2 linked regions of the Rattus norvegicus genome follow. The protein of the gene in region 1 purifies or fractionates together with the protein of each later gene. This does not show direct contact. Links are inferred from orthologs where the notes say so. Each region holds a gene or a part of one and is shown on either strand. Other genes may lie near its edges.

Region 1 (6,662 bases):
CTTTAAAGTTTGTTTCTTAGATTTCTGATTGAGGGCTTGTGTTTGTGGCAGGTTTGGTTTTGGTGTGATTTCGGTATGACTCATCTTCTGTTTTTTCCCTCTGGTCAGTTTTTCAGCTTGGGACTTTCGTGTTTCTGATTTGCTGTAGGTGTTGGTTGTGTGGTTGTTCTGGCACTTGGCAGTCCCCCGTCTCTGACCTGGATTCATCCTCTCTGTCTGTCATTACTTCCCACTGCTATTCCTGTGCCCCTCGGTTTGGTCTCCTCTTTCTCACTTCCTGCTATGGGCGTAGAATCTAGAAACCTTACCTAGGGCATCCACACTGACTACTGCACAAGGCAGTTATCCTTAGAAAGGAGACGCCCCAAGCAGGTAAAATGAAACCAGCCCATTTCTGAGCACGGATTCTGTGAGCGCCCCATTATCCCCTTGGAGCTGTCTTGTGCACCCTTGCTGATTCCCCACTCTGTAGAGCTCCACGGAGCTCTGGAAATGTGGGTGATTCGCCTTGTTCTCCTGGGGAGCAGCACAACCGTACTTATTACTGGTGCTGTGCAGCTTCCTGCCTAGGGCAGTGTGGACTTTCCCAATCCTCAAGCACCCTCCTCCCTTTGTTCCCTACCCCCACCCCAAGACTGGGTTTCTCTGTGTAGCCCTGGGTATCCTGGAGCCCTCTCTGTAGACCAAGCTGGGATCTGTTTTCCTCTGCCACCCGAGTGTTGGGGTTAAAGGTGTGCGCCCCCATACCCTGCTCCTTTTTCTCACTAACTTTTGACCACTGCTTCAGGGAGGAAGAGCCATCTTGTCTCACCATTTCAGGCTTTTGTGACATTCCCATAGGCCGTCTTAGAACAAATTGCAAGTGCTTCAGGGAGAGGTGACCATTTCTCTCTCCAGGTGTCAAAGCAGACGACACGGCAGGATGTTCTGCCAATGGTGCCACCTCTCCAGGAGAACTTAGGTCCCAGACCTTCTTCCAGGCACCCCTGATACCTCCCTCCCCCAATCTCAGAGTCTTAGTACCTAAACACTCAAAGCTCACACATATGGTGTTGTGTTTCAACAGATTTAAAAATGTTATCTTCGAAATTGGTCCAACAGAAGAAGTTGGAGACTTTGAAGTGAAGGCCAAGTTCATGGGCGTTCAGATGGAGACTTTCATGCTGCATTATCAGGTGGGTGTGCACAGCCCTGGGCCTGAAGCTCTTGAGTGAGGTAGGAGAAAGAGATAAGAGAAGGCCCTTTGGGGAAATCTGTGTATTCAAAGAGCTCAGCTCCGAGTTGATGGGAGAAGCCAAGGGTTTGGGGAGTGGGTGTGGTCTAAAGTGCTTCAGAGTACACCCAAAGCTTCACTAGTGTGCCCTGGACTGAGCTGGTGCCCTGGCGTGAAGGAAGGGCCTGACTGTAAGTGTTAGCAGTGTGAGACTCCACGCTGTGCAGTCCTTGACCTCTGTTTTTCTTCTCATTTGTGTCTGATGTGGATACTTTGGTTAGGAATACTACTGAGAATCGCGTGAGTGCATTGCCTCTATCTGAGTCTGAGTCACATCTTAAATTCGAAATTAATTCTAACAATTTTATAACATAACAGTTTCTATTTCTAAGTGTCTTAACTTTTTTTCCTGGTGCTTAGGCCCAACCCTAAGGACTTGTGCTTGCTAGGGAAGCTGTTTCCCACTGAGCTCTATTTCCAACCCCAAATGTCTAATTTTGGGGAGTGGGAGGAAATCTTATACAGCCCAAGCTTTTCTCAAATCCACTATATATTTGAGGCTGGCCTTAAACTCTTGATTCTCCTGTTTCTCGCAAATGCTGGGATTATAGATATGTGCTACCATGCCTAACTGCCTAAACATCTAGTTTTGCACATTAAAAAATTGTACCAAGTAGGGATGGTGACACAAACCAGTAATCCAGCACTCTGGAAACAGAGGCAAGAAGATTCAGTGTGAGGCCAGCCTGGACTTCCAGGCCAGCCTGTATAGTGAAGATGATCTTCAAAATCCAAGACCAGAAACAAGCAGAAAATTGAGAGGATTCATAAGCAGTGCCCAGACCCAGCTATGTGTGCACCACATAGTAGGCCTCTTGTGGTTTCTATTGGTTGGTTTCTTTCTTTTTCTTAAGATTCATTTATTTTTATGTATGTGAGTACACTGTAGCTGTCTTCAGGCACACCAGAGGAAGGCACTGGATCCCATTCAGATGGTCGTGAGCCACCATGTGGTTGCTGGGAACTGAACTCAGGACCTCTGGAAGAGCAGCCGGTGCTCCTAACCACTGAGCCATCTCTCCAGCCTAGCTGGCTTATTTTTTGCAATGCTGAGAATCAAACTTAGGGTCTCACACATGCTCTGCTGCCCAGCTACTCTTCCAAGTCCCACCATGCCCTGCTTCCACTGCTGTGGTCTAGCAAAGCAGGCTAGTGCCTCTCTGCGAGTAAGCGTTCCAGCTCCTGCTCAGGATGCTCTGCCCTTGTGTAATTGGCCTCCCTCCCTCTCCTCCTCTCTGCCTTCTACCGCCATCAAACAGTGAGCACCGGCACTGTTGTTGCCTGCCTGCAGCCACAGCGGTGGCCCTTCCCTTTGACTCAGCAGCCCTGAGAGACATCCTCTGTTGACAGTGTGAGCTGACTCATTTCCCTGCCACCCCCAAAACTGGGAACTCCTAAAGCAGTATGTCTTAGTCATCTTTATCTCCTTGTTGGTAACCAGTAGTCTCTCAGTGCATATTAATTAGTAAACGGGAAAGGTTTTCTTCATCCATTGTAACTAAGCACTGCTACACACAGCCCCTTATCCCACTGGTCTCACTGTGCCTGCAGGCCAGCCAGTCTGCTAAGGCAACCAGAGTCAGCACATTGTCTGACTCGTCGGTGCATGGGCTTAGGGTTAGGCTAGGCAGAGAGGACACACCATGGTCCCCATCCTTGTGACACTGCAGTCCCTTCATACCCTCTCTCGTCATCACTCTCAAAAGTTTAGTGGTAGGAATGACAGTGCTGCCATATGCTGTCAGGACAGCAGAGAGTGTTAGAAAACAGCCTGTCAGACCCCATCACCCCAGAGCCAGCTCTTTCCTCCTGACGGCCGCGCCACCCAACACCCTGAGCCTCAGCAGCTCATCTTTATAAAGTTTAGATTGATCATGCTTCATATAGTTTTTGTAATGACCTGGCAATATAGAGGGGAAGGTGCCTGCACAATGCCACGCACAGGCTGGGCAACCATGACTGTGCTCCTCCTGTTTGCTTGCACCTTTCTCATGCAGAGTTGAAGCTGGAGTCTGGCAGGGCTATGGCTGTCTGTAGAGACTGTGTATTCCGTTCCCAAGAGACCCTGGGTTCAGTCTCCTCAAACAAAAGACCCCAGTAGATTGTAGAGCTGCAGATGTCGTTCTCTGTTGGTAAACACTTGTTCGGCATGCACAGAACCCTGGTTTTGATCCAGCACTGTAGAAACCGAGCATGGCAGCCATACCTGTCCACCCACCATGGAGACAGCAGTATTCGGCCAGCCTGTGCCAAAAGGGCCGAAAGGGGTTGGGGGTGGGCGGGGGTATCTAGTAGGTACGGAGACACTACAGACCTTTCTCATTTTCAGCCATTGGCATATTTCATGAATTGAAATGTCTTTAATACATGTGTATTAAAACCTCTAACCTACCTACAGCTGAAACAATGAGAAAATGCCATTGTAACTTTTGAACTAAGGCTTCAACGTATTTTAACTGAACATAACTCTTAATTTTCCTTCATATGTTTAGAATATTTTACTATAAACTAAATGATAGCCTAAGACCAAGTTAGCTTGAGGGTTCCCTCAGCCAGAACTCCCTGTTGCTTCAGCATCCAGGGTGGCTGTGCGGACCCAGGTGGCCATGTGGTATGAACCTCTGCACTGAGAACTTGTGTCTCACCTCCCCATTTTACATCTGGCACGTGAGGCCTGCCTCACCTCTCCTGGACCCTCCCCTCATGGAGACCTTTCCCTCCTTCCTTCTCTCGTTCCAGATTTGATGGTTAAATTGTTGTGTTTTGTCTTTAAACAGGACTTGCTGCAGCTACAGTATGAAGGGGTTGCGGTCATGAAGTTGTTTGATAGAGCTAAAGTGAATGTCAACCTCCTGATCTTCCTTCTCAACAAAAAGTTCTATGGGAAGTAACGGGTCACTTGCCACCCGAGGAATAAAAACAGGCAACACTCCACAGCTGTCTTTCTAGGAACCTCCATTACTCCTCGGAAGCAAAGACCTGGTCCAGCAGCCTCAGTTCACACTCCTGAAGCCCGTGTTTAAGTCCCCCCTCCCCCGACAGGCTCAGTGCCCTCTTCTATATGGTGAAGCCGGATGACTTCCCCTCAGCCCTGCTCCCCTCATTTTCTCTCATCATGTAGAAAAGAGTGGAACCCCACCCAACCCCTTTCTACGAAAGCCTCCTAAGTGGTAATTACTATTTTGTAAACATTGGTGTTTGTTTTACTTAGCAATAAGAATGGTGGAATCCAAATTCTTGTTTAGAGGTAAAAGCTGTCAGGTTGCTAGCAAGCATCCGATTCGGCATTAAGTACGGCCCGGCCCGTGAGCAGTCAGAGGATGAAGTCCGTGAAGTCTTCCATCTGCTGCCTTTGTAGGCGGAGCTGATCCAAGTTACTGCTCTCTGTTCAAATGAAGCAGCTTCAGGAGAAAAAGAGCAACTACTTTTGAATTCTCCACTCAATGTGGGCAGTACAGTTAGTGCAGAGCCCTTCCTGGTGAAGGTGAACCCCCACGGTCATGGAGACCTGAGAGACTGAGTGGGCAGGGCACTCACCATCCCTCCCACAAAGGGATGGCTTACCCTAGCTCAAAATGTAACTGTTTCTAAACTGTATTCCAGGAGTGCCTTACCAAAGTATAAATTTATTTCTTAAAATGTGAGTGATAGGAATTTTAAAGATTTATATAATGCTTTAGAATACTGAGAAAGGGTTGTTTTTTTCATTGGGTTCATCTGTATATCTGAATTCTTGAAGCTTTTCTGTAGCCTGTACTGAGGTCTATCTACCAAGCTGCTGAGCTAATCCTGCTTGATTTTAGCAACAAGAGACAACCCACATCATGCTTGAAGTTCAATCCATCTCTTCTCTGTTACCTACATCATGCTTTTATCCTGAGAAACCTGCACCCTTAAGCTCTGACTAACAAAGACAGCTCCAGACATTGAATTTGGAAACCTTTGTCCTTGGATTAAAAGTCATAAACTTTAAAAAAAATCTCTTTATTCCAAAAGATAGGTAAATCATGCTACTGAGCCTCTGATGGCTTTGATGTTTGGTTCGATATTCTTACATAAAACATAAAAATTAAACTAATTTTTATGCAGAGTTTCCATATGGATATCGAAGGCCAATAAGCAGTTTTAATTAGCGACAGTGTGTGGTCTGACCCTGTTATAAATGTAAGTCTTGGAGAAGTGTCCTTTACGAGACCCACAAGTGCAGGCCGGGCTGGAGGCCTCCGTGAGCAGATCTAGGTAGAGGCGGGGCCAAGAAAGGATCTGACCCCACAGTGACATTGTGTTTGGAACAGAGTTTTCTGAGAAAACATTTTCTCCAGGTTAAAAGAAAATGCTAAGGCTGGCGTAGTAGAAGACACTTATAATCTAAGCACTCAGAGGCTGAGGAAGGAGGATCAAAAGATCACTAAGTCAAGGCTAGCCTGGGTTACACAGCCCCGCTCAATCTCCAAAAGACAGAGAAAGAAAGAAAGGAAAAAAGGAAAAAGATCCTGTTAAAACCTCAAAATCAAGGTTAGGGGATGCGGCAAGTGTGCCTTTTTTCTTTTTCTTTTTTTTTAAGACAGAGGAGATGGGGGGCTCTGTTGTCTTGGCTGTCCTAGAACTCTGTAGATCACGCTGGTCTAGAACTCACAGAGATCTACCTGCCTCTGTCTCCCGAGTGCTGGGATTAAAGGTGTGAGCCACTATACCTGGCTTTCAAGTATGTTTTCTTTAAGAGGATGCCATTCCAAATGTCCCAGGGGCCAGCTGCAAGACAGTAATGAGCCCAGGTTACAGCGCCTTCAGATGTCTCAGTTACCTGAGAGGATGTTCCTTCCCTGAATACCCAGTAGAACTGTGCCACATGCCCTTTGAGAATCCCCATGGCTGCTGTGGGTCCTGCTTAAGCAGAAGCAGAGGTCACCCAGCTAGCGAGCCTCAGGTTGGCACCCTGAGGTCGGGCTGCGCCTACGTTATTTATTAGCTGTAGCCATCTCTGTCTTGGCTCTCGCCTCCTCTGACCTTCTCTCTGACCAGCCGTCATGACATTTACTATGAATTTACTTCCTCCCAAGAATTTGGACTGGCTGTCAGACTGTTGCTACACACAATTGCCTTTGTATCATCGTATGAAATAAAAGGTCATTTGTTCCTGTTTGTGTTTATTTTTCTTGGTTTCATTGTTAGCAGTTCCTGTTAGACGGTGTTAACTAGAGTAAGATTAAGTCACCCCCCCCTCCTTTGTAGTCTTTTGAAAAGAAGAGCAAACCAAGCCTGCCTTTGGGTCACAGAATATCTCTTGTAATTTTATTTACTGCATGGGTATGGAGCTCAGAGGACAACTTGGGAGTCAGTTCTCTGCTCCCACCATGTAGGTCCCAGGGATGAAACTCACTGATTATGC
Region 2 (7,296 bases), on another chromosome or scaffold:
GCACCCAAACCTTCGGTAAACGCTAGGGAGAAAGCAAACACTCAGGCTGGGCAATGGTGTCGGAAAAGGAAGGAAAGGCTGCAGAGCCCAGCGCTGCATTTGTTGGGGATCTCCCGGGGACGAACGCGCTGCATAGGCGGCGTCAGCCGACGCCTGCACACGGAGGAAAGTCTGGAGCAGATGACCAGGCTAAACTGTAAATCTTAACATCTACCTCAGTCGCCAGCCTCTAGGCTTTTCGGCTAAGATCAAATGTGTAAAAAAATAAAATAAAAATGCGAAACTCTTCAAGTTACGTGACGCCGCAGCTAACGGCCTGAGGAAGCGAAAGCAGCCCCAGCCTCCGCCTGCCTACCGCCCGGCCCCGCCCCTGGCCTTGCGGGCGTCCCTGAGTCTGCATCCCTAGGGTCAAGGGTGGGGACGTCTCAAGCCCTTTCAATTCCGGAACTGGCGCACGCCTCAGTGTCTGAGTCAACAATTGCCACCACGGGCCGGAAGTGACCGCCAACTCTCACCACCGGGGGAAGGTTTCCTGCGAGCACGTGGGCGTGCGTGGACTACGACTCCCAGCATGCTCTGCGCCCGCCGCTGTTAACCCTTCAGGGACCGGAGCTGCCCTGAGTCCCGCCCCCCCACCTGCCCCTTCCTTGGAACCGGCAAGGTGAGTTTTGAGGGGCTGGGAGGGCCTTTTTCCTCTCTAAGGCTTAGGAGTGAGTGTAAGTGAGGGAAACTGGTGTGTTGTTTGCGGAAGGATTCCTTATTTTCCAAAAATGGGACAATTTGCAGTAAAAAGATTCTGACGCCTTTACAAATGGAAGACACACTGCCACTCTGTGAACTCCAGGGCCTAAGTGGAATGACCAGTCTCTCAGAATGCTACCTAAATCTTCTTTATCCAAGAAGAGAGTAGCCAGAACTCCCTTCCAGCTCCCAAACATCATCTCTTCCCTTTGCCAGCGCTTCCAGCAAGGTTTGTGACTCAAAGCTGAGCCAAGGTTTTTGTTGTGATCCTGACTGGTTGGGTGCCAGTGTGGATACCTACCAACTTCTTAGGAGATTCTGTAACCTTTTTGGGGTATTAGAGGGCTCATTGTCTCCCAGGGTCCTCTCCCTCTGTGTGAGTGTGAGTGTGTGTGTGTGTGTGTGTGTGTGTGCGCACACGAGCGCCTGCCTGCCTGCCTGCCTGTCTGTCTGTCTGTGTCTCCTCATCCTAGCCTCTTGTCTGATTTGAATAACATTGTCTTGTTGGAAAATGTTCCTTCTTTGGAATTATATGTGACAGATGCTAAACCTTGCCTACACTGGAACCCCTAAATCAGCATTAGGTGTAGGATTCAGTGGGTAATGCCATGCTATGGTTACAGTGCGGGGGTGGGGGTAGGTGGGGGCCCAGGGACTTCGAGTTCTAAAGATACAGGAATGAGCAGAAAGGAGTGAAAAGACCCCCTTCTCTCACCTTTAATGTTTCCAGAACATATTTTAAAACTTCCCACTTGACACTAGGTTGTTACTCTGTCCCGCCCCCATACCCCCATACCCTTCACACCCCCATACCCCCATGCCACCCCTAAGTCCTTGCTCTGCTTGGGCTTTTCCACAGTCTAAAAGTAATGAAAGCTTTTGTTTGCTTTTTAGTTTAGTTTTTTCTCTCTTCCCTTAGCTCCTATCTCAGAATCACTGGCAAACGTCCTATCGTCACCCTGGAGGTTACCAGTCCCTGTTCTGAGAAGTCCCTTGTTTCTTCCCTGTACCCTTAAAGAAAACATTCTGTTCAGCCTTAGGGGAGTGGTGTCAGGAGGAAGAATACTTTGGGGGCAAGAGCTCTTTACCACAGGCGGCCAGGGGAGTGAGGGCAGACAGGCAGAAGTTTCTTCTCCCTCACCCTTGCCAACTGGCTCCCTGTCCCCGCCGCTGCCCCCGCCCCTTGACACCCCAGACTCCCTGCCTATTTAAACAGAGATGGTGCCCCTGTCGGCACACTGCTCTTCTGCCACCTGACATCATGCCTCCCAAGAAGGATGCTCCTGTGAAGAAGCCAGCAGGACCCTCCATCTCTAAGCCTGCTGCCAAGTCTACAGCAGGGACCCCTCTAGCCAAGACCAAGGCCGAGCCAGCTGCCCCCCAGACCCCTGTGAAAACCCAAGAGCCCCCTGTTGATCTCTCCAAAGTGGTGGTGAGTCCTGGGAAGTGTGTGAATCTGGAAGGGGTAGTTCAAAGGTGCAGTGCAGCCTTGGGGATTGGGGACCGGGAAGATGTGGGAAGGGTAGGGAATGAATGAACCGCTAGAATGAGGTTGGGGCTCCCAGGCCAGGCCAGTTTCCAGGGGAGAGAGGTGCTGTCTGCTCCTGGCTCAGCTGTTGAACCCCAGGAGGGGAGACTGAAGAGGACAGACTTGTTAGACAATCACAGCTGGGGGCAGGGGTAAATTTAGCCTTTGTTCAGCCCCCAGTTATGTGAGGGATGCAGGACTGGGGTAGCGGGAGGGAAGGGAACAGGTGGTATGGGATTAACCCTGCTCCCAAGAAACCCTCCCCCTATAATTCCTCTTGGGGTGCTCCCAAAGCCCAGGGCTGGGAATGGGACTAAAGTGGCCGGGCTCCCAGCCTCATCCCTTTGGGCCCCTCCCCAGAAGTGGCTGCCAGTTGGTTGTGCTAGAGAGGGACTGAATAAGCCCTGTCATCTCCTCACCTGCCCTTTTTGTCCCCTACAGATCGAGTTTAACAAGGACCAGCTGGAGGGTGAGGAGAAGCCTGTTTCCTAAGCCCCATTGTCCAACACCAAACTCCTGGTCCGATTCTCTGTTCCCTAACGACAGTCCTGACCTTGAAACCTCCCACACTTGTCCTGTTCTCCTCCCTCCTGTGCCCAGCTCGAGCACATAATTTCTAAAGCAAACCTCCCTTCCGGCTGGAGGTGATGGGAATCCCTGGTCACATTGCCTTCTCCCTACATCTCAGAGTTCAGAGAGGCCTTTGAGCTGTTTGACCGAGTGGGTGATGGCAAGATCCTGTACAGCCAGTGTGGGGACCTGATGCGGGCCCTGGGCCAGAACCCTACCAACGCCGAGGTGCTCAAGGTCCTGGGGAACCCCAAGAGTGATGGTGAGAGGAACCTTGAGATTTGTGGGGTTTCCATCTTCTTGGTGTTGGAGGTTGAACACAGCGTTCTGCCCGTGCCACGGAGTGCCATTTCTAGCCAGCAACTTTCTCTTCATCCTGTTTTTTGAGACAGAATTTCGGTATCGCAGCCAAGAATGCCCTTGAACTCTGATCCTCCTACCTGTACCTCCTGTCTACCGCCCACTGGAGTTCGATTGCTCCAGTTTATGTGGTGCTGCTGGGTTGACTCCAGGGCCTCAGGCAAGACAGGCAAGCCCTTTATTATGGAAGTCCTTTTTTCTTTTTCCTTTTACTCAGGTTGGCCTGGAACTTACAGCAGCCCTAGTTGCCAGTTTTCTTTCTCTCTTTACACTTTTAATTAATATTCTTTAGATAGGGTTATTGGTATTATTATTATTATTATTATTATTATTATTATTATTATTATTATATAGGGTCGTCTCTACATAGCCCTGCTTAGCCTGGAACTCACTAGATAGACCAGATTGGCCTCAAACTCAGCCTGTCAGTGCTCAGACTGAAGGTGTGTGCCACCACACATGGACTAGTGTAGTGGTTCTCTCTTTGTGCTTTGCGTGTGTCCTGCCACTTCGATACATCCCTGCCCCCCCCCCCCCCCCCCCCCCGTTGAGATAGTCTTAAGTTGTTTTGGCTGGCTTTGAACTTGCCTGGTAGCTGTGGTTACAAGACTGCACTGCCGTGCCTGGTAACAGTATCAATTTTCAACAGACTTGGTAAGGTGACAGAGGACCGGGGTGGATCTCAGGACTCAAAAACTGTCAAACACAGGGAAGGAAAACATCCTCAGTGCTGAAAGGGATGAAAGTCACTATGTATAGTAAGGTTGGATCCCACACCTCAGTGATATCTCTCTCTCTCTCTCTCTCTCTCTCTCTCTCTCTCTCTCTCTCTCGCCCTCTCTTTCCCTCTCTCATCTCTGTCTAATTGCCAGAGCTGAAGTCCCGGCGTGTAGACTTTGAGACGTTCCTGCCTATGCTGCAGGCAGTGGCCAAGCACCGGGACCAAGGCACATATGAGGACTACCTAGAGGGGCTGCGTGTGTTTGACAAAGAGGGCAACGGCAAAGTCATGGGAGCGGAGCTCAGACACGTTCTTACCACTCTCGGTGAGGCAGGGCCCAGAACTGTGGGATGGAGAAGCAGGTGGACCTGGAGGAGCTGGTAGAGCCTAGATGTCTAGCAATGAGCCGAGGGCAGGGAACGTGGTGGGAGCCTCATGCCCTCTTTGCAAGCCACACTTGGGTGGATTTCATGCAAGTCTCAACCCCTGCAGCTCGTTTCTTTGTCTATCAAAGCTTTTAGCAGCTCCAAGGAACTGTTGATAAGTGCCATACAGAAAGACGACAGGGAGGGTGGGAGGACGAACCACCCTGAGAGTGGCTTGGACTAGTGAGTACGGGAAGGCAGAGGCTCTAACTGTGTTTGGGTTCAGGAGAGAAGATGACTGAGGAAGAGGTAGAGACTGTTTTGGCAGGCCACGAGGACAGCAACGGCTGCATCAACTATGAGGGTGAGGGGGCAGGATGACCAGGGGGGTGAGGAGTCTTGAGGGGGTTGGGAGTGTACCCTCGTTTACTCAAAGGTCAGTTTCTGAAGTCCTCTCCTCTCCTCTCGTGTGTGCAGCCTTCCTGAAGCACATCCTAAGCCTCTGAGCTCCGCAGCCCCTAGTGCCCTCTAGAGAGGCAACGATCCCGGTCAACCAGACAAGCGCAGGCAGTGCGTTTCCCCATCCGACTGTAGCGCAGCCGCCAGCGCTGGACAACTTTCTTTCTACCCCACCCAACTCCACCCCACCCCACGTAGAACCTGCGGGATCGGAAACTTGCCCCACCTCCTGTGCGGCCAGTAGTGCGTTCCTGCCACTAGGGGGCACTTACGGTTTTGAAATAAAAACATGGTTCCTGCTTTGGTTTCCGACTGGTTTCTTTTGAGGAAGGGGAAGGACGGGAGCGGTAGTCCTTTCTTCTGCAAAAGTCCAAATCCCCTGCTCTTAGTGCAGTTCGGAAGAAAGGCTTCCAAGAGTCACACCCTAGGCCTCCGCCGTGCTCCTGAGCAGAGTTGGAGCGCCCCCCTCACCTCATTATTAATATAGTGATGTCATCGGCATGAGCCCAAACTAGTATGCCTATTGGATGAAACTGCGGAGGGTGACGTCAAGCGCCGTGGGACGTACTAAGGTTGGGGTTGGGTCCCGAGTCGGAGCCATTACAGCCGGCAAAGGTCCCGCATAGCTCAGCAGCCAAGATGGTGGGCCCTGGGAATCGGGAGATTAGGGGGATTTGGGGCAGGGAGAGGACCGCGGGTGGGGGTAGGAAAAGCGGTGGACGTGGGCACGCCCAGGTTTTGGGAGGTTGGATGTGGGGTTGGAAGGTCTAGGGCTCTCTCTGCCTTGGGAAGCAAGTCCTCGGCTTCAAACAGAAGTTTGTTAAGCCGGGAGAGAAGTTTGCGGGATTGGACCTCAGTACTGACCAATCCCTTCTTCTCCGAGCAGTGTGACTTCACCGAGGACCAGACCGCAGGTAGGCAGTCTCTGACCCACAACTGAGGTCACCCTTACCGAGAGGGACCCCTTCCTCTAGATCCCAACCTGTCATCTCCAGCACTCCCAGGAGGGTGCCCCGTGGATTTCCTTCTCCTCGGCTCTAGATCCTCCATTTTCTTTCTCATTCTTTCTTCCTTCCCCTTCCACTCTAGATCTGAGCCCCAACCACTGGGTGAGTTTTGGGTGGTGTGGGTATGTGAAACAATGATTACTGCCTGTTGTGTGTTGGGTCTCTTATGCTTGTGTTCCGCTGCTTTTGCCTCTCCTGTGATAACTGCCCCCTCCTTAAGCTTGGATTGCCAATACGGTAAAGAGCAGTGCCTTGATATTCTGTTGAGATGGGGACTGGAGAGTTTGCTAAGCCCGTGGCTTAGCTTCACCCCCTGGAAGGTCTCTGGAAGGGAAGGGTGGGAATGGGAAGCTAGAGTCCAGACCACTGCTCTACTTCCTTATATGGGCAGGACCTAGCCTGGGCGGTGGCAAATTCCTGCCGAGCAGTGTAGTGGTGGTGGAGGGCCTAGCCTGCTGTAGCTCAGGGGGTGTGTAAGCGATGGCTACCACCTTGAGGTAAGGAAGAAGGCTGCGTGTCTTTATGCGGGGCATTTGAGTTGATAGAAATTAGATCCTTAGGCGCAGTCTTCGGTGTACAGGAGGACAAGATATCTGGTCTCTGCAGCATGCTAGAGTTGAGTTGGCAGCAGCACTGGGTTAATCCCTGGTGCTGCTGTTCATCTGAATCCTCAGAATTCAAGGAGGCTTTCCAGCTGTTTGACCGAACAGGCGATGGCAAGATCCTGTACAGCCAGTGTGGGGATGTGATGCGGGCCCTGGGCCAGAACCCTACCAACGCCGAGGTGCTCAAGGTCCTGGGGAACCCCAAGAGCGATGGTGAGCATTTCAAGACCTTAGTGGGTTCATGGTTGTTCAGGTAAAATCATCATATATGTATATGTACACACACACACGTATGTGTGTGTGTGTGTGTATGCGCCAACCTTGAGCAAGTTTTATCTCAGCCAGTTCCACTGATCTCCCTCTTCTGGCCAGTCAGTTGTGTTCTCTACCACTGTGTCCTGAGAACACGTGTGACTGCTCGTCTGGCACTTCTACCTCCCACACGACAGAGATGAATGTGAAGGTGCTGGACTTTGAGCACTTCCTGCCCATGCTGCAGACTGTGGCCAAGAACAAGGACCAAGGAACCTACGAGGATTATGTTGAAGGCCTTCGTGTGTTTGACAAAGAAGGGAATGGCACTGTCATGGGTGCTGAAATCCGTCATGTCCTAGTCACACTGGGTAAGGGTCTGTGACCATGTGGAGCTAAGCTGCCACCTTGATAAATTTCACCGTCATGCAGTTCTAAGAATGTTCCTTCCTCTGCAGGGGAGAAGATGACAGAGGAAGAAGTCGAGATGCTAGTGGCGGGGCATGAGGACAGCAACGGTTGCATTAACTATGAAGGTAAGGGGCACACTATAAACTGGGGCCTCTGAGGAAACGGTCATTCAGGGTATGTTAAGGAGGTACTGTATTCCTAGACTTGGTTCCAGAAGGGAGCCAGCAGTCAAGGGGCAAGGCTCAGGTCAGCCTGGGAGAACTGTTGGGGACAGACC

The links.
Region 2: the proteins of Iqgap1 (region 1) and Myl6bl1 purify together in Homo sapiens (affinity purification with mass spectrometry; 3 studies listed by BioGRID and IntAct, with this or other methods). This does not show direct contact. The link is inferred for Rattus norvegicus from reciprocal best matches to the Homo sapiens genes IQGAP1 and MYL6B.

The regions. Positions count from the first base shown.
Region 1 is NC_086019.1:144,087,375-144,094,036, reverse strand, and holds the end of Iqgap1 (ras GTPase-activating-like protein IQGAP1), read left to right. Parts: intron 1-1,066; coding exon 1,067-1,175; intron 1,176-4,050; coding exon 4,051-4,164; 3' UTR 4,165-5,249; downstream 5,250-6,662. UniProt on the Homo sapiens protein: Plays a crucial role in regulating the dynamics and assembly of the actin cytoskeleton.
Region 2 is NC_086025.1:1,496,363-1,503,658, reverse strand, and holds Myl6bl1 (myosin light chain 6B), read left to right. Parts: upstream 1-2,500; coding exon 2,501-2,738; exon of another isoform or gene 2,739-2,957; coding exon 2,958-3,101; exon of another isoform or gene 3,102-3,231; coding exon of another isoform or gene 3,232-3,263; exon of another isoform or gene 3,264-3,895; intron 3,896-4,071; coding exon 4,072-4,245; exon of another isoform or gene 4,246-4,571; coding exon 4,572-4,649; exon of another isoform or gene 4,650-4,699; intron 4,700-4,705; exon of another isoform or gene 4,706-4,762; coding exon 4,763-4,791; 3' UTR 4,792-5,044; downstream 5,045-7,296. Other genes in the region: Myl6 (myosin light polypeptide 6), read left to right, coding at 5,384-5,386, 5,631-5,658, 6,426-6,569, 6,806-6,979, 7,067-7,176. UniProt on the Homo sapiens protein: Regulatory light chain of myosin. Does not bind calcium.